Linked DNA regions of Caenorhabditis elegans. The protein of the gene in region 3 purifies or fractionates together with the protein of the main gene of each other region. This does not show direct contact. Each region holds a gene or a part of one and is shown on either strand. Other genes may lie near its edges.

Region 1 (4,020 bases), on a different chromosome or scaffold from region 3:
AGAGTTCACAAGACTACAGTACCCTTCAAAGACGCGCACCAACTTGAAATTAACGAAATTGCCGTTTCGAGACCGTATCTTTGGCGGAAAAGTCATAAAAGTTCGAATCTTTGTAATTACTAACTTCGCAAGTGCTTGTCATTGGTTCAGGAGCTGTAAGACTCGAGTAACAATGTGCAACTGGACAGACACGCATCTTTTTGGTTGATTTTTTGAGGCATTTTGTGCAGAATGTGTGCAAACAGGGAATCAACTGGAAAATTTGAATCCGTATGGCTGAGAATAATGCAATAATCTCACTTGAGTTGCTTCTTCACATGGTTTTAAATCATTGCAAACTGCACACCAAATTGACATCTTTGGATAACTTGAAATATTTCGAAATAATCTTCTTTCTACATTGAAGTCGGGAACATTTTAAATTTTCGATGTAAAAAACAATATCACGTTATTTTTATTTAAACATTTTTTCTCTTTTATTAACGCTTTTTTTTCACCAACCAAGACTTGCAACATTTTTCAAGCAAACATTTATCTGGAGAAATTGTCTATTTAATAAATTACTGATTGAAATAAGCGGATTGGTAATAATAGAACTGCAAGAGTACATGAAAAATACAATAAATATTCGGCGCAAATGCGATAATTTAGAGAACAAATGGAACGATGGCCTTGCGATTTTTTGGGTAATCTGGGAACTCCTTGAGGTAGTTGCGGTGCTTTCCTTGGGCCCAGATTGCCATTTGAGCGAATCCAGCGGTGGTGAAGATGATTGCTAAATTTTAAGATTATGAATAAAATCAATTATATTTACAAGTTTTTTATTTACCTGGAAGAGATTGGACCATAATGGAGAAGAAGATCCATGATGCGACCTCATATGTGTAGTTCGGGCACGAAACGTAGTTGAAGAGGAGAGAAAGTGGATTTCCATCAGGCTTTGGAATACGACGTTCGCGGGTTCCAGCTGGACGGAGGTTGCGGAGAAGAATGTGGATCGAGAGATTTCCAAACTCCGAAATCACGAAACCGGCAAGTCCGAAATAAACCTGAAGATCTCCGAAAGCTGGTGGTGTGAAAAGTGGGTGATTGACAAAGTAGGCGACGAAGGCAGCGAATCCCCAGTAATAGGAGCAGTTCTGAAAATTCAGGAAATAGAAATTTGTTTATCGATTAGTGAATTTTATTTTTAATCTTGTCCGTTTCAAAATTCTCTACTAAAACTACCTAAAGTTGTACGAAATATTCTAACTTTGAATTTTAGGCATATTCAACGTTTTTACTAGTTTTTTTTTGTTGCTATATTTCAGATTGAAAATTGCCGTAGAGCGTAAAATAATTTTTTCATCAACGCAACTTTTGCAACTTACTATTAGTGTCCCTTATTACTTTTTACTCAATTGTTTTTATTTTTATTTTTGAAACATGCCTTGACTAAATTGAACTGTGGCATAGTCGAGTTTCCGAATCTATGGATGAATTGAGTTTCGAACAATCTCTTGGCGTAGTGGAAGCTCCATGCAAAGAAGGCGATTTGTACTGCTGGATGCATGGTAGCATTGACAGCGGCTGTAATGTAAGATATTGTGTGAAATAATATTAATCCGGCTCACCTTGTCCATAAATGAAAGTTGGTCGAAGATAGAAAAGCGGATAAACGAACAAAGGTCCAGCATACTCAGCCATGAAGACAGTCTTCCAGGCGATTTGTGGTCCGAGATCTCTTACATATAAAACTGCTTTTTGAGATGAAAGTCCAAGATCGGAGAGTTTTTGGTCATCAGCCAATGGTTTACCCTTTGGTTCGACACGGAGAGCCTGACGTTCTTCGGTGAGTTTCAGCTCTGAAATTATTTAGCTAATAAATCATAAATTTCGATTCACAAACTTTTCTGGGCAATTCGCTTCTTGATAGCTTTGATCGTTTCGGATCCAGAAATTCCCTCGAGGGTGATGATGAGATTGTCCGTACGCTTTGCGTCATAAACCTCCAGAATCCCACTCATTCTGAAAATTGAGGTTTTATATAAACTGAAAAAAAGGAATTTTCACAAAAACTGGCTCTATTCAGAAAGAAACGAATTTTTTGCAGTCCACTATTATAAAAATGGTGTGATTTTCTTTTACGGGTCGCTATCAATTGAACTGATAAAAAAAGAAGAGAAGCATTGTGAAAATGCCAATTGAAACGAACGACCTCGAAATAAAATTTACTAAATGCATTAAAAAATAGAAATTATTATATTTTCAAAGATTTTTGTCTGCCTTAAATAAGGGAAAAGCGATAATATTTAAACGTTTTTTGAAATAGCCTCATTATCAGGTGATTCTTATTCAACTGCTCGAAAAATCGCCCTTCTCCGTCAGAACTTGTTGATAGTTTAACGGCTGGCACAACATTTATGGCAGTTTGGTAACAAAACTGAAAAGTGAAGTATTGATATAATGAGCAGAGACATTGAGATTTGTAAAACATAGAAATTGGAAACTACAACCTTTATTTGAAATTTTGAAGAAATTTTATGTGAAAATATACAGTAGTAGGAGTAGGAACAACGGGATTCTTAAGAATATAACGACAAAGCAAGAAATGAAAAATTGTCTTTAGTAGGAATTGTGTGGAGATTCAGAGACGCGATTCAGGTAGTCACTGGGGAGCAGCGAGAGCAATGACACCGCAGGCAGCACGAGCTCCGGCGTTTCCAGTCTTCTTGGACTCTTCTGCCTTGTCTCCGACTCCCTCGCCTGGAAAGTTTACTAAATTGATTTTTAATTCGAATTGTTCATACCGAGGTCGTCTTGTCCGGCATGAACAACCATAGATCGGCCAACGACAGTGTTTGGACCGTAAAGCGTGACGAGCGTGTCGGTGAGCTTGATTTTTGCCACTCCATCGGCTCCAGCTTCCACATTTCCTAGATCGCCTACGTGACGGATCTCGGACTGAAAAAATATTATAATTCAAGCGATATAAAAAATTTCCATACTTTTGGTCCACCATGAGTCTTTCCAAATGGATTGAAGTGTGGACCGGCAGAAATGCATCCGTTGGTGGAATCACCATATTGGTGAACGTGGAATCCATGAAGACCGGGAGTAAGTCCCTTGATTTCTCCTTCAATAACTGCCTGGTCATTTTCGGACTTCTGAAAAAGAATACAAATGATTTAAGCGGAAAACTCGGCTAACCTGTGTGATCCAGATAGTACCGGTAACAGTTTCTCCACGAAGAACAGCGACAGCACGGTTCGACATTTTTTGAGCGGCTTCGACCTGTAAATTCAACGAATTTTCTAGGGAACACTCTAAGGAATATCACGGCAAAAAGTTTAGAATTAGAAAAAAACAGGCAGATCACAGTCGATAGATGCAAAATTAAAAAAGAAATGGTAAACACGAGAGAGAGAGAGAGAAGGTGGAGCGAGATGAAATAGACAACATTGTGTGTGTACCCGCCTCTCGGTCGCAGAATTTTGTAGCTATGTCTCTAGTTTTTGTGGGTTTCTGATGAAAATGATGATAATTAAGGTAAAGGCAACAACACAACGCCATAGATCAAATAGGCCCAAGTTGCGAATGACGAATGTTTCGGATAAGCACTGACCTGCGGAAAAATCGCGTTGGAGACCTGAGTGAGAAGATTCATAAACATCACCGATCTAAAATACTGAATCTACAACTTTGAATAATAAAGAAACAATGGAAAGTATGATTATGACACTGATTAAAAACCACAAAACAAAAACACAGAAAAAATAAGCGGCTCACAAATTCAACGTCTCCACTCTTGAAAACTCGAAATTGAACGATTATTTCAAGAAAAAGGATTTTTAATAACTAAATTTTAATTAATTTTGAGAATCGGAAGAAAACCGGGAGTGGAGAATCGTTTCTATAGAAACTACGAAAGCGTAAAGAAAATTTAGAGAAAAAAGAAAAAAACAACAGCAAAATAGTGTGCACGCATCAAACTTGACGAGCAATGCGCGTCAAATATGCTGTTCGAGAAAAACCGCGGTT
Region 2 (4,991 bases), 2.3 Mb from region 3:
GCAAATTTCATTTTAACACTAACAATTTAATCGATCCAGTTTCTTTGTCATTTCGACAATTCCACGAGATGAGCCAGTCATTTTGACAAATTACCTGAAAAATAGGAAATTTATTTGATTGATTCAGTTTTCAATCGTTTGAAGTGAAGAAAACAATAAGAAAATACGGATAAAGTGAAATATCTTTGTAAAATACGTTACCTAACGGTAAAATAACAAATTTTCCAGTAAATTTCGTGAAAACTGAAAATTTCTTTTCTGTCTAATAAATTTTCACAAATAAAAATCACAAAAACGACAGGAAAAATGCAAAAACTATGTTTGAAATTTTGAAAATCCAAAAACAATAAACTAGGAATTCTGTGCGTCAAATGAGATGCCCGGTACGCAAGTTGCGTACTCCGAGAACTACCGTAGTTTCGGAAACTTTTTTTGAAACGGCTAATTTTAACTTATTTTATTTTCAGAATATAATGAAAAAAAAACAATTTGCATGCAAAGTAGCAAATAGAATTTGAAATAAAACGTTTATTTTCGTAAAATTTCTTAAATTTGCAGTGAAAATCCAAAAAATGAGGAAAAATCTCACTCTCAACTTTGCGCGTAAAATATAGCGCCCTGTACGCACACCATGTACTCAGAAAATGACTACCGTAGTCATTGCATCTTAAAATAATGTTTAATGAACCGAAAACAACACAAAAGAATTTAGTTATGCGGAAATTCAATGAACATTTTGTCAAAAAAAAATAGGGGAAATCAACAGTGAAAAAGTAAAAAAGAAGACTACAATAACTACAAACTACAAACCAATAACGAGAAATGAAGAGATGATCAAGTGAGAAAAGTGAATAAAAATACTGCATTTGAAACGGAAACGATGTAGTTTGTAGTGTCAAAAGGCTACAAACTACACAAAACTAGTCTAGACAGCACCAAAATAGCTGGTTGAGAAATGATTTGGATAGAGAGATGTGATATCGGAGGCGACGACAGTGATATACGGGTACTTTCTGGTTATATTCTTGAGTCCAGTCGGTGAGATGAATAGGGAAACCAAGTAGATATTCTCATCTGGGACACGTGCCTCTTTTAGGACTTCAATTGCCTTGCAAACTGTCGTCCCAGATCTGAAAAATTGGAAATTTTGATAAAAATGTGATTTTTTAAATTTAAATGTTTCTTCAGTTAAAAAAATTTCAAAAAAAGATTTTTTTTGCACAAAAAAAAACTCAATTTTTTAGACAATTTTTCGCCTTCTGGGGAAGTTTTAGTGATCGACATTTTTAAAGTTTCTACGTCAAACAAATTATTGAATTTTACGATTTTTCGCCGGGAAAATCGATTTTTTGACATTAAATTTTGTGTTTTTTTTCTCAGATTTTTCAATCAAATTTATTTCGGCCAGATATTTTTTGTAGTTTGTAGTCTCTGAGCGTACCCTATCGTTGGGTAGAGCAGTAGAACTCGACGCGACGTGATATCCGGAAGAAGCCTGGCGTAGAGCACTTTTTGTTCGTCGCCTGTAACAAAAAGTGGATGAAAATTGGAAATTTTGCGAGTTTTGAGGTTTTTCTTTTAAAAAAGTATCGCCAGTTTTCGACAAACTCAGTAAAACTCACGATTTCTACCACTTTTCTGGGTAAAAACGCAAATTTTACTATTATATATATTTTTAATATATTTTTCAGGAATTTTACCATAAGAACAGTACATATTTATTACAGATTTAAAAAAAAAAACATTTTTCGGCTGAAAAAACGAGTTTCTCTACGAATTAGAGGTATTTTTGAAGGAAAAGTCAGACTTTTCACAGATTTTGAGGGGTATTCAGGAGAAAATCTATAAAAACTGGATATTCACCAGATTTTTCCATTTTTCAAGCAGAAATCTGCATTTATAAGAGATTCCAGGTAATTTCAGGGAGAAATTGATGAAAATCGCAATGATTTTGGTGATTTTTCGCCATTTTCTTCTATATTTCTCAATTTTCTTCGCCTTTTCTAGGAAATTTCCCAAATTCCTCTCGATATCCTCAATTTCCCGTACCAATCAGAATTTTTCCAATTCGAATACACCGACAACACTGTCTCAATGAAACTTCCATCGCCTCTCCACTTCTACACAACGATACTCCACAATTTCCACGATTAAATTGAATTCCTTCATATTTGAAGCCTGTTGGTGTGGTAACTGTGTGCTCAGTGAATGGAAGATGATTGAGACATTCTTCAATTACAAGCCGCATCAGACGATCCGCGTTGAATACGAAATCCGAGTGATTTGTTGATCTGGAAATTGGAAGATGGTTGAGGCTATGGGGCTACAAACTACAAACTACAAGATTCTCTGAGCCTCAACCAATTTTTACAAGGAAAACTTCTAAAATTGCGAGGAAATCACGAAAAATACCGTTTCGGACCCGGAAATTTATGAAAATATCGGAATTTTGACTCAAAATCCGAGAAAATCCTTGAAAAATTCATTTATATAAATAAATATATTCATGTTTTCTAACAAAAAAAAACGTTTTTTAATCAAAATTTCAGTTAATTTCACGGCAAAAAGGCCAAAAAATGAAAACGTTTTCTATTTTTCTCCTAATTTACTGGCAAAATCGCTTAAAATGCCGTTTCTGACCCGAAAATTTGTGAATTAACGGATTTTTAAAATCTAAATTCCAAGAAAATCGCTTTTTAAGGCAAAAAAGGAGTTTATTTAAAATCAACAAGTTTTTCCGGCAAAAATACCGAAAATCGTTAATTTTTCCGCAAAATCTGGAAAAAGAGCTTGGAAATATGAGTTTTCAGCCCCTTTCTTTAAATTTTCACCCATAAAATGTTTGAGGCTTCAGTCTATTCCCAGTCAAACTTCATACCTATCTTTCAAAATTGTCTGCAATTCAAGTATCTGTGGAGTCTTCTTCAAAAGAACAAAATTTGTTCCCTTCTCTTTCAGATTTGCCACCAACTGCCCGACACCGTCTTCCTCATCACCAACCTTTGGAATCACTGGAGCACATGTTCCATTCACATGCCCAGCCATTTCTGTAATCTAATACTGATCGATGAGCAGAACAAGCGTCTGCTGCTCAAATACTGTCGGCTTGTACATGTTTGCTCTGCGGCACTCAACTCGGTATAAACGTAAAGTGTTCCGACTTTCATTCTTTCTCTTTTTAACAAAAAACATTATATAAATAAAATACTTCATAATACATTGTTTATGACGATCGAACTGCAGTAATAAATTAAAAGTCAATCGCCAGGCAGTTGATTGTGGGAGCATCTAGTACTCCTCTCCCTCCTCTTCTCCTCCCTCGTTGGAGTCAGCTCCGACCTCTTCGTAGTCCTTCTCGAGAGCAGCCAAGTCCTCACGAGCCTCGGTGAACTCTCCTTCCTCCATACCTTCTCCGACGTACCTGAAAAGAAACACATTGAATATTTGAAAAGTATAGTTTAACGGGCAACATACCAGTGGACGAAGGCACGCTTGGCGTACATCAAGTCGAACTTGTAGTCGAGACGAGACCAGGCCTCAGCGATGGCGGTAGTGTTGGAGAGCATGCAGACGGCGCGTGGCACCTTGGCAAGATCACCTCCTGGCACAACAGTTGGTGGCTGGTAGTTGATTCCGACCTTGAATCCGGTTGGGCACCAATCGACGAATTGGATGGTTCTCTTGGTCTTGATTGCAGCGATGGCGGTGTTAACGTCCTTTGGAACGACGTCTCCTCTGTACAAGAGGCACACAGCCATGTACTTTCCGTGACGTGGATCACACTTGACCATCTGGTTAGCCGGCTCGAAGCAGCTATTGGTGATGTCGCTGACGGACAGAGCCTCGTGGTAGGCCTTCTCAGCAGAGATGAGTGGAGTGTAGGCGGCCAATGGGAAGTGAATTCTTGGGTATGGCACCAAGTTGGTCTGGAACTCGTTGAGATCAACGTTGAGGGCTCCATCGAATCTCAAGGAAGCAGTGATTGAGGAGACAACCTGTAAAAAGAGAACATTAGAATACAACAATCAAATTGAGCTCAACAAACCTGGGAGATGATTCTGTTGAGGTTGGTGTAGCTTGGTCGCTCAACATCCAAGTTTCTGCGGCAGATGTCGTAGATGGCCTCGTTATCGACCATGAAGGCGCAGTCGGAGTGCTCCAAGGTGGTATGGGTGGTGAGGATCGAGTTGTATGGCTCAACGACGGCGGTTGAGACCTGTGGAGCTGGGTAGATGGAGAACTCGAGCTTGGACTTCTTTCCGTAGTCGACGGAAAGACGTTCCATAAGAAGCGAAGTGAATCCGGATCCGGTACCTCCTCCGAAGGAGTGGAAGACGAAGAATCCTTGGAGTCCACTGCAGTTATCAGCGAGACGACGGATCCTGTCGAGGACGGTGTCGATGAGCTCCTTTCCGACGGTGTAGTGTCCACGAGCGTAGTTGTTAGCGGCGTCTTCCTTTCCGGTGATCATCTGCTCTGGATGGAAGAGCTTCTTGTAGGTTCCAGTGCGAATCTCGTCAACGACAGTTGGCTCGAGATCGACGAAGATGGATCTTGGAACGTAACGGCCGGATCCGGTGTCTGAGAAGAAAGTGGTGAACGACTCTCCCTCGTTCGTTGATTGAGTTGGCATGGTTCCATCGGGCTGGATTCCGTGCTCGAGGCAGTAGAGCTCCCAGCAGGCGTTTCCGATTTGGACTCCGGCTTGTCCGACGTGGATAGAGATGACCTCACGCATTTTCTTTTCTGAAAAAGAAAATTATAAAGTTTTAAAAGAGAAAGACAATTGTTATATGAGAACGAAACGATTGCGGTGAGAGCAGAGACGAAAGTGAGCCCAAATAGGGCCGAGAACGCACGAGCGCGCGCGCTCTCTCAACATAGCCCAACATCGGACACCGCGGTGGACAAGTCATCGATTGCAAAAAAATGATGACGAAATAGCGGGGCGCCAGTGGAGAGCGGATTGAAATGAGTGCAAAGGAGTGGAC
Region 3 (7,896 bases):
AGTCATTCCAACTGTTCACTACAACATGGGAGGAGTTCCTACGAATTACAAGGGACAAGTTCTCGATTTCACACCTGAAGGAGGAGATAAAGTGATTCCAGGACTCTATGCCGCTGGTGAATGTGCAGCACATTCAGTTCATGGAGCAAATCGTCTCGGAGCAAATTCCCTTCTAGATTTGGTTATCTTTGGAAGATCTTGCGCTCTCACGTTAGTTTCATTTATCTGAACAGGTTTAAACTAAAGATTTCAGTATCCTTAATGAGAACAAACCAGGAGATTCAATCCCGGAGCTTCCGGTAAATTGTGAAGAGAAATCGTGTGACAATTTGAACGGACTTTTGCACTCAAAAGGAGATATTTCATCTATCGAATTAAGACAAAAGATGCAAATGACAATGCAGAAACATGCTGCTGTTTTCAGACGGGGCGATCTTTTGAAGGTAAGTAAATACAGATTTATTCTATTTTCAAAAAATATTGGATATTTTCAGGAAGGAGTCGATAAAATGTCCTCCATCTACAAAGAGCAACAAAATTTGAAGGCGTGTGCCGACTCTGGAAAAGTATGGAATTCGGAGCTTGTCGAAACTCTCGAGCTTCAGAATTTGCTTATCAACGCCAATCAAACCATCGTCGCCGCCGAAAATCGCACTGAATCTCGTGGAGCCCACGCTCGTGATGATTTCCAAGAAAGAATTGACGAATATGACTACAGCAATCCACTTGAGGGACAGCAGAAAAAACCGTTTGATCAGCACTGGCGCAAGCATTCCATCATCGGTATCGATACGAAAACTGGAGCTGTTGATTTGACATACCGCCCAGTTATCGACAAAACTCTCGATAAATCTGAAACCGACTGGGTTCCACCAAAGGTCCGATCGTATTAATTCGTTGTTTTGTTCTTCTTTGTTCACATAATTGTGTTCGAGCTGTATGTTTTTTTCTTTTGTGTGAAATTTATTTGTTTCCTGATTAGAATAAAGTTTATTGAATTTAATAATATATCAATTTAAGCTTATTTAAGATTTATTTCTGGTTTTCAATCCACAAATATTTGCAAATGTTCTTCAAAATATGAAATGTGCAAGTGCGCTCCATGGAAAATCTCTATTTTACGTCATTGTATGAAGGAGTGTTGGAACAAAATTATTCCGAATTCGTTTTGCTTTAATCTTTTTGTATTTTTATAACTGAATTTGATTTTTAATTATTACATAATTAACCATGGACGGAATGATTGCAATGCTCCCTGCTCCACTGCAGAAACTATCGTCGCATATTGATTTTCAAGGACAGAAAGTCGCCGAGAGAACTTACCAGGTAACAAACCACAATTGATTGACTGAAATTACATAAAATAAAGCAATAAAATTTAGGTAATCCTCACTATTGCTGGAATTATTGGCTTCCTCGTTGGATTCTGGACTCAACAGCTTTCATATGCCATGTTCACAGTGCTGGGAGCATCTGCGTTCACAGCTCTCATCATTCTTCCACCATGGCCATTCCTCTTCAGAAAGAACCCGATTGTGGTGAGAAAAAGTTACAGAAATCGTATAAAATGTTTTAATTTTCAGTGGCACACACCTGCGGAACCACAAGAATCTGGAGACAAGAAAAAGGAGACAAAGAAGACGAAATAAATCGGCAATGATGCAAAAACTAAAGAAAAACGTTTTACTCGGGATCTGGTCAAATATTTATTTTAAATTAAATTATTTATGAGCTCTTCTTCATTTTTCTGTGTGATATAAGAATCATCTTCTGAACCATAATAAATTCATTTTCAATCTACAACGATTTTAATATTTTATTGACGTTTTAATGCGACACATTTTACTTTTTTATTCTGAAGTCTTGAATCCTCCTATCCTACTCCCCGTTCAACAGAAATGTACCGCGCTGGAGCGGTTTTACTCCGCGGGGCAACTCGCACGCGGCTTCTTGCCGCTGCTTCAGCACATCAAAGCTTTGCCACATTTTCTCAAAGAAATCAATCGATTTTAATGATGAAATCTATGGAATTAGCAGGAAATTCAGGAGAAAGGAGGTTTTATTCCACTCATGACGATCCAATCGCTGTGGATGACTCATTGGAACTGTACAAAGATTTGGTAAGTTTTTTAGAATTTCAGTCATTAAAAGACGATTTTAATTGATTTTCAGGGAGGAATGTCACCGATTCAAGTGCCAGCCGATATGCCAAATGTCCCAATGTTAGCTATCAATCGATATCCACTATTTCCAGGATTTATCAAGAAAGTTGATGTGAGATTAGATAACGTATTTGGCGGAAAACTGAAAATTAAAATTTCAGATCGTGAAAGATGACAATTTAAAAGCACTGATCAGGCGACAGCTTTCACTGAAACAGCCGTATGCTGGAGTTTTTGTGAAGAGAGACGATGAGTATGTAGTTTTTGAATGGATCTCTTCTTGACTTAAAAATGGAACAATCGCCGAAAAACTAGTCATGTGTTGATATACGGAGCTCGTGTACTCCCCGAGGAAATGCTTTTACAGTTTTTGCCTGATATTTTTGATTTGGAACCATTTTTGTTATTGGAATCATCAAATAACAGAAAAAAATCAATCTTCTATATACCGACTATAACTTCTAAAAAATTTATACACTTTTTCAAAATTGTTTTGTATTTTTTTCAATTTTGCAACAAAAAATGGATTAAAATTGCTGAATTATTTTTGAATTCCCGCGCAAATTAGTATATTTTTTTCCAGAAACAAAGAAGAAACGATCACATCTCTATCAGAAGTCTACCCAACTGGTTCTTTCGTTCAAATTATCGAAGTCCGTGATCAGGGAAGTGTTCTTGAGCTGGTACTCAGTGCTCATCGAAGAATTCGTGCTCTTGAACCAATTGACGAAATTACACCGAAAAATGAGACTCCATTGAATGGAAGACGTGCTCGTGGAAAGCGTGCAGCATCAGCAACATCACCACTCACTCCACCACCATCACCACCTCCACTTGCACCTTCAGTGGCTTCAGTGGCTCCAGAAATTTCAGCAACAGAAGAGAAAGAAGAGAAGACAACACCACCATCAGCAACTGGAGAAAAACAGAAAAAAGGAATTATTATGGTTCGAACCGAGAATGTTGTTGCAGAGCCAGTGCCCAAGAATAATGAAACGAAGGCTACGATGATGGCCATTGTGCAGACGATTCGGTAATATCAAGTTGCGATTATTTAGCCATTTGTACCTCAATATTACGATACCCGGTCTCGACACGACAAACTTATTGTAATCTAAAAAGGATATATCCCTTTGAAGAGTACTGTAACTTCAAATATTCGTTGCTCGGAAATTTTCATCGATTATCATAAATTCTCGTTGAAAATTATATACATAAGATTAAAAAAAAATCGCAAAGTTCGAAAATAAAATCTGTGTCATTACATTTATAAAAAACTTGTGTGTATTGTGTGAAAAGCTATGAGAAATCGACGAAAATTCCGAAAAAAACAATAGTTTGAAATTAAAGTAATCTTTAAAGGCGCACACTTTTTTGAATAACAGGAGAAATGCGACCGGGTACAATAAAATGTATATTAATCATTTTGAATCGAAAATACGGAAATAATCTGCAAAATGTTATGTATTTTACAATGGCCAAAAGTAAAATCGAAAAAAAAAACGAAAAAGATTGTAGTAAAATTATTGAAAAAAGGATAAAACTATAAATTCAACAAAAACTGTGTATATTTCGAGAAAAAAATATAGAAAATTTGCATTTTTTCCCCTGCAAATTGAAAAAAACCTTGATTCCGAAAGTTATTTTTTGATTTTATGAGTTTCCAATTTCCTAAATTCAAATATTATTTCAGAGATGTAGTACAATTCAATCAACTCTTCGGTCAACAAATCAATCTTCTACTTCATCCATCTCAAAATGTAATCGATAATCCAGTTTATCTATGTGATCTTGTTGCAACTCTTGTACAATCTGCAGAAACAAAAGATCTTCAGGAAATGATGGATGAAATTGATGTAAATTTAAATTTAAATTTTTTTAAATGAAAATAATTATATTATTTTTTTAGGTTTCAAAGCGACTCAAAATTGCTCTTCTTCTGATTCAAAAGGAGAAAGCAGTTGCCAAATTGAAGTATGATATCAATAAAGATGTTGAGAAGAAGGTTCAGGATCATCATAGGAAATACTTGCTCAATGAGCAATTGAAAGTAATCAAAAAGGAGTTGGGAATTGAAAAGGATGAGAAGACGACTATTATTGAGAAAATTGATGAAAGAATCAAAACATTGGCAGTTCCAGAATATGCATTGAAAGTTATTAACGAAGAAAAGACAAAGTTGCAGTTTTTGGATCCGCATTCCAGTGAATTTAGTGTCACGAGGTAGATATTGAAAATTATATTAGTTTTATAGAAAAATATATATATGCATTTAAAAGGCTAAAAATGCTCGGAAAAGTAAACTTTTTTCCAATTTTCCAATCGAATTTTTTTTCGAATTCTTTTTCCAAAAATCAAAATTTCTCCAAAAGCTTCCGGATTGTTTATGAAGTGTTCAGAAACCAGCTCCTGGATGTCGTGAAAAATTGAAATGTTTTTTTTTATCGAAAAGTTGACAATTCGACATTTCAATTTAAAAAAATTTCAATTTTCCGGAATATAAAAAAAAATAATAGTTCAGAAATTTTAAACTTTTTTATTAAAACCCCAAAAAATTGTTTAAAATTAAACGAAAACTCCAACTTTCTAAATTTCTATTATTCACTTTTGGTTAATCTATTTATTTTAATTTTCTTCAAAATGAGAACTACAGGATCGACGACCAGGAACTCCGCCCACTCCTTTTGATTGGTTCGCCGATTGGTCTTACAGTTCTCGTTTTGAAAGAAATTCAAAACTGAAAAATATCATTTTTAAGTGCATTTTTTCCTGAATGTCAGACTATTTTAAATGTTTTAAAGCAAAAAAAAAATTGAGTTCCGTTTTTTTTCAGAAACTACCTGGAATGGTTGACATCAGTACCCTGGGGACTTACATCACCCGAGAATCGTCGTCTTTCAGTTGCAAAGAAAGCTCTTGATGAAGGACATTATGGAATGAAAGATGTTAAAGAACGAATTATGGAGTTTATTGCAGTCAATTTACTTCGAAAATCAATTGGTGGAAAGATTCTATGCTTCCATGGACCACCTGGAGTTGGAAAAACTTCTATTGCGAAATCAATTGCGACTGCCTTGAATCGAGAGGTTCAGTTTTTTTTCCTAAACTTTCTCTTGTTAAAATTAAATCTAACATTTGCAGTATTTCCGTTTCTCAGTTGGTGGAATGACTGATGTGGCAGAAATCAAGGGACATCGTCGTACATATGTCGGTGCAATGCCTGGAAAAATGATTCAATGCATGAAGAAAGTGAAAACTGAGAATCCTCTTGTTCTTATCGATGAAGTCGACAAAATCGGCGGAGCTGGATTCCATGGAGATCCCGCATCGGCACTTTTGGAACTTCTTGATCCAGAACAAAATGCGAATTTTAATGATCATTTCTTGGATGTTCCAGTTGATTTGTCTAGGTTTGAAGATGCTTCTCCTCTTGGTTCTATAATTTTATTTCTAATTTTCAGAGTTTTGTTCATTTGCACGGCAAACGAGATTTCAAAAATCCCGGGACCACTTCGTGATCGAATGGAAATGATTGATGTTAGCGGTTATTTAGCCGAGGAAAAAGTTGAAATTGCTCATCAACATCTCATTCCTCAACTCAGAAAAGACACATCTCTCGCCACAGAACAACTGAAAATTGAAGATTCTGCGTTGGAAGAGCTCATTAAGCATTACTGTCGTGAATCTGGAGTCAGAAATTTACAGCAACATATTGAAAGAGTATGTTTTGGTAAAAACAGGACGATCCGCGAGACCCGAAGAACTCGGGGGATGTCCAATTGGGGGGATTACCAACTCGGGGGATTGGCCCCGCCCACATAACCGTGGCTTGCAATACGCCCATTTCTGCAACTGCCGCACGGTTTTAAAACTGTATTTTTCTCAATAGAGCGAGAATTAACAAGAAAAAATAATTTTTAAACCGTGCGGCAGTTGCAGAAATGGGCGTATTGCAAGCCACGGTTCTGTGGGCGGGGCCAATCCCCCGAGTTGGTAATCCCCCAATTGGACATCCCCCGAGTTCTTCGGGTCTCAGATCCGCGCCTCGAGTTGATTGTTCTGTTTCGACAATTATATTTAGATTGCTTATAGAAATTACCTTTTTTTTCCAGATTTTCCGTAAAGCAGCTCTTCAAATTGCTGAACAACAAAACGAGGATGAGGAGCCAGCCGAAAAAGCAACAACTGCTATCACTGAAAACTCAGAAGCCGAACCAATCACCTCTACATCATCTGCAGATTGTTTAAAATCTTCAGCCGAACAAATTGTAGTTTGCACAGAAAACTTGCAAAAGTTCGTTGGAAGACCCAAATTCACATCAGATCGAATGTATGAAGTAACACCGCCTGGAGTAAGCGAAAAAACTGTTTTAAAAACTTAATTCACGTTCCGTTCAGGTGATAATGGGTCTCGCATGGACAGCAATGGGTGGATCTGCACTTTATATTGAAACTGTATTGAAACGACCTGTTGATTTGACAAATGATAAGGATGGAAGTATTGAAACAACTGGAAATTTAGGAGATGTAATGAAAGAAAGTGTTCGAACAGCGTTGACTGTTGCAAAAGGAATTCTTGCAAGAGAGCAACCCGATAACAAATTCTTCGATAAAGCACATATTCATATTCATGTACCCGAAGTGAGCTTAATCTTGAAATAATTTCAACTAACCAATTCCATTTTTCTAGGGAGCAACACCAAAAGACGGACCATCTGCAGGAGTAACTCTTGTCTCAAGTCTTCTTTCACTCGCTTTAGACCGACCTGTTGTGCAGGACATGGCGATGACTGGTGAAATTTCATTAACCGGAAAAGTGCTGCCAGTTGGTGGAATTCGGGAAAAAGTGATCGCGGTGGGTCCTCTGTTCTTTTTTCGTTCAAAAATTTCATTTTTTTTCAGGCTCGCCGTGTCGGAGCAAAACGAGTCTTCCTTCCAAATGAGAATCGTCGAGACTTTGATGATTTACCAGAATTCATGAAATCAGAGTTGGATATTCGATTCGTTTCGCATTATGATGAGCTCTACGAGCATCTCTTCCAATAATACGTGTCCCTTTCTTTCACCCCCAGTTAATACCTTTCAGATAGATTTTGTTGATTCACCTAATCCATTTTTTCTTGTTTTGTTATTTTAAAAACGTTTTGAAAAGAAAAAAGTTCAGGCTATAAACATTTTCCTACTTTTATTTTTGTTTTTTTTTTAATTTTAATAATCTCAAGTTGTTTGATCTTTTCAAATATTTTTCATTTAAATTCTAAATAATATTCTCTTTATTTAAAAACCATTATTTTCAGCTTTAGAAATGGCAATTATCGAAGAAATTTTCGAGGATGAAGAGGATCAGATAACAAAAGTGGATTCATTGAAAAAAGAAGGAAATAATTTCTTTGCGAATGGAGAATTCGAAAAGGCGAATGAAAAATATCAGGTATTGGAATGTTTTGCAAACGTGCGGCGCGGTTTGAAGCTTGTCGATTTACGCAGGATTTTGTACTACACGTGGACAAGTATTAATTCAATTTTCATATAATTTTATAGTAAAGAAAACAATAATTTGAAAAACAAAAATTTTGATTTTTAAAAATATCGAAAAATTACAAACAAGAATTTTAGCTGAAAACTACACAATCATCTCAAAAAAAATCCCCACTTGTCCGAGTGTAGTACAAAATTCTTCGTAAATCTACATGCATACAACGCGCCGCAGACTTGCAAAATTAACGGCTTGATC

What was found.
Region 1: the proteins of lonp-1 (region 3) and art-1 purify together in Caenorhabditis elegans (affinity purification with mass spectrometry, with the first as the bait; one large-scale study listed by BioGRID). This does not show direct contact.
Region 2: the proteins of lonp-1 (region 3) and C47B2.2 fractionate together in Caenorhabditis elegans (co-fractionation; one large-scale study listed by BioGRID). This does not show direct contact.

The regions. Positions count from the first base shown.
Region 1 is NC_003280.10:6,970,229-6,974,248, forward strand, and holds art-1 (putative very-long-chain enoyl-CoA reductase art-1), read right to left. Parts: upstream 2,008-4,020; 5' UTR 2,007-2,007; coding exon 1,889-2,006; intron 1,845-1,888; coding exon 1,614-1,844; intron 1,570-1,613; coding exon 1,430-1,569; intron 1,140-1,429; coding exon 830-1,139; intron 776-829; coding exon 648-775; 3' UTR 517-647; downstream 1-516. Other genes in the region: C15F1.5 (RING-type domain-containing protein), read right to left, coding at 125-253, 301-357; sod-1 (Superoxide dismutase [Cu-Zn]), read right to left, coding at 2,648-2,745, 2,790-2,943, 2,988-3,146, 3,190-3,273, 3,605-3,652. UniProt on the Caenorhabditis elegans protein: Catalyzes the last of the four reactions of the long-chain fatty acids elongation cycle. This endoplasmic reticulum-bound enzymatic process, allows the addition of 2 carbons to the chain of long- and very long-chain fatty acids/VLCFAs per cycle.
Region 2 is NC_003279.8:12,961,526-12,966,516, forward strand, and holds C47B2.2 (Phosphoribosyltransferase domain-containing protein), read right to left. Parts: upstream 3,055-4,991; 5' UTR 3,046-3,054; coding exon 2,879-3,045; intron 2,292-2,878; coding exon 2,050-2,291; intron 1,524-2,049; coding exon 1,442-1,523; intron 1,131-1,441; coding exon 926-1,130; 3' UTR 517-925; downstream 1-516. Other genes in the region: tba-2 (Tubulin alpha-2 chain), read right to left, coding at 3,289-3,421, 3,475-3,995, 4,046-4,738.
Region 3 is NC_003279.8:10,676,375-10,684,270, reverse strand, and holds lonp-1 (Lon protease homolog, mitochondrial), read left to right. Parts: upstream 1-1,896; 5' UTR 1,897-1,898; coding exon 1,899-2,120; intron 2,121-2,172; coding exon 2,173-2,274; intron 2,275-2,323; coding exon 2,324-2,415; intron 2,416-2,745; coding exon 2,746-3,195; intron 3,196-3,855; coding exon 3,856-4,018; intron 4,019-4,071; coding exon 4,072-4,385; intron 4,386-4,995; coding exon 4,996-5,248; intron 5,249-5,303; coding exon 5,304-5,572; intron 5,573-5,623; coding exon 5,624-5,882; intron 5,883-6,274; coding exon 6,275-6,514; intron 6,515-6,560; coding exon 6,561-6,803; intron 6,804-6,852; coding exon 6,853-7,017; intron 7,018-7,064; coding exon 7,065-7,208; 3' UTR 7,209-7,349; downstream 7,350-7,896. Other genes in the region: sdha-2 (Succinate dehydrogenase [ubiquinone] flavoprotein subunit, mitochondrial), read left to right, coding at 1-210, 254-443, 495-893; spcs-1 (Signal peptidase complex subunit 1), read left to right, coding at 1,231-1,326, 1,383-1,538, 1,584-1,649; ttc-1 (TPR_REGION domain-containing protein), read left to right, coding at 7,468-7,593. UniProt on the Caenorhabditis elegans protein: ATP-dependent serine protease that mediates the selective degradation of misfolded, unassembled or oxidatively damaged polypeptides as well as certain short-lived regulatory proteins in the mitochondrial matrix.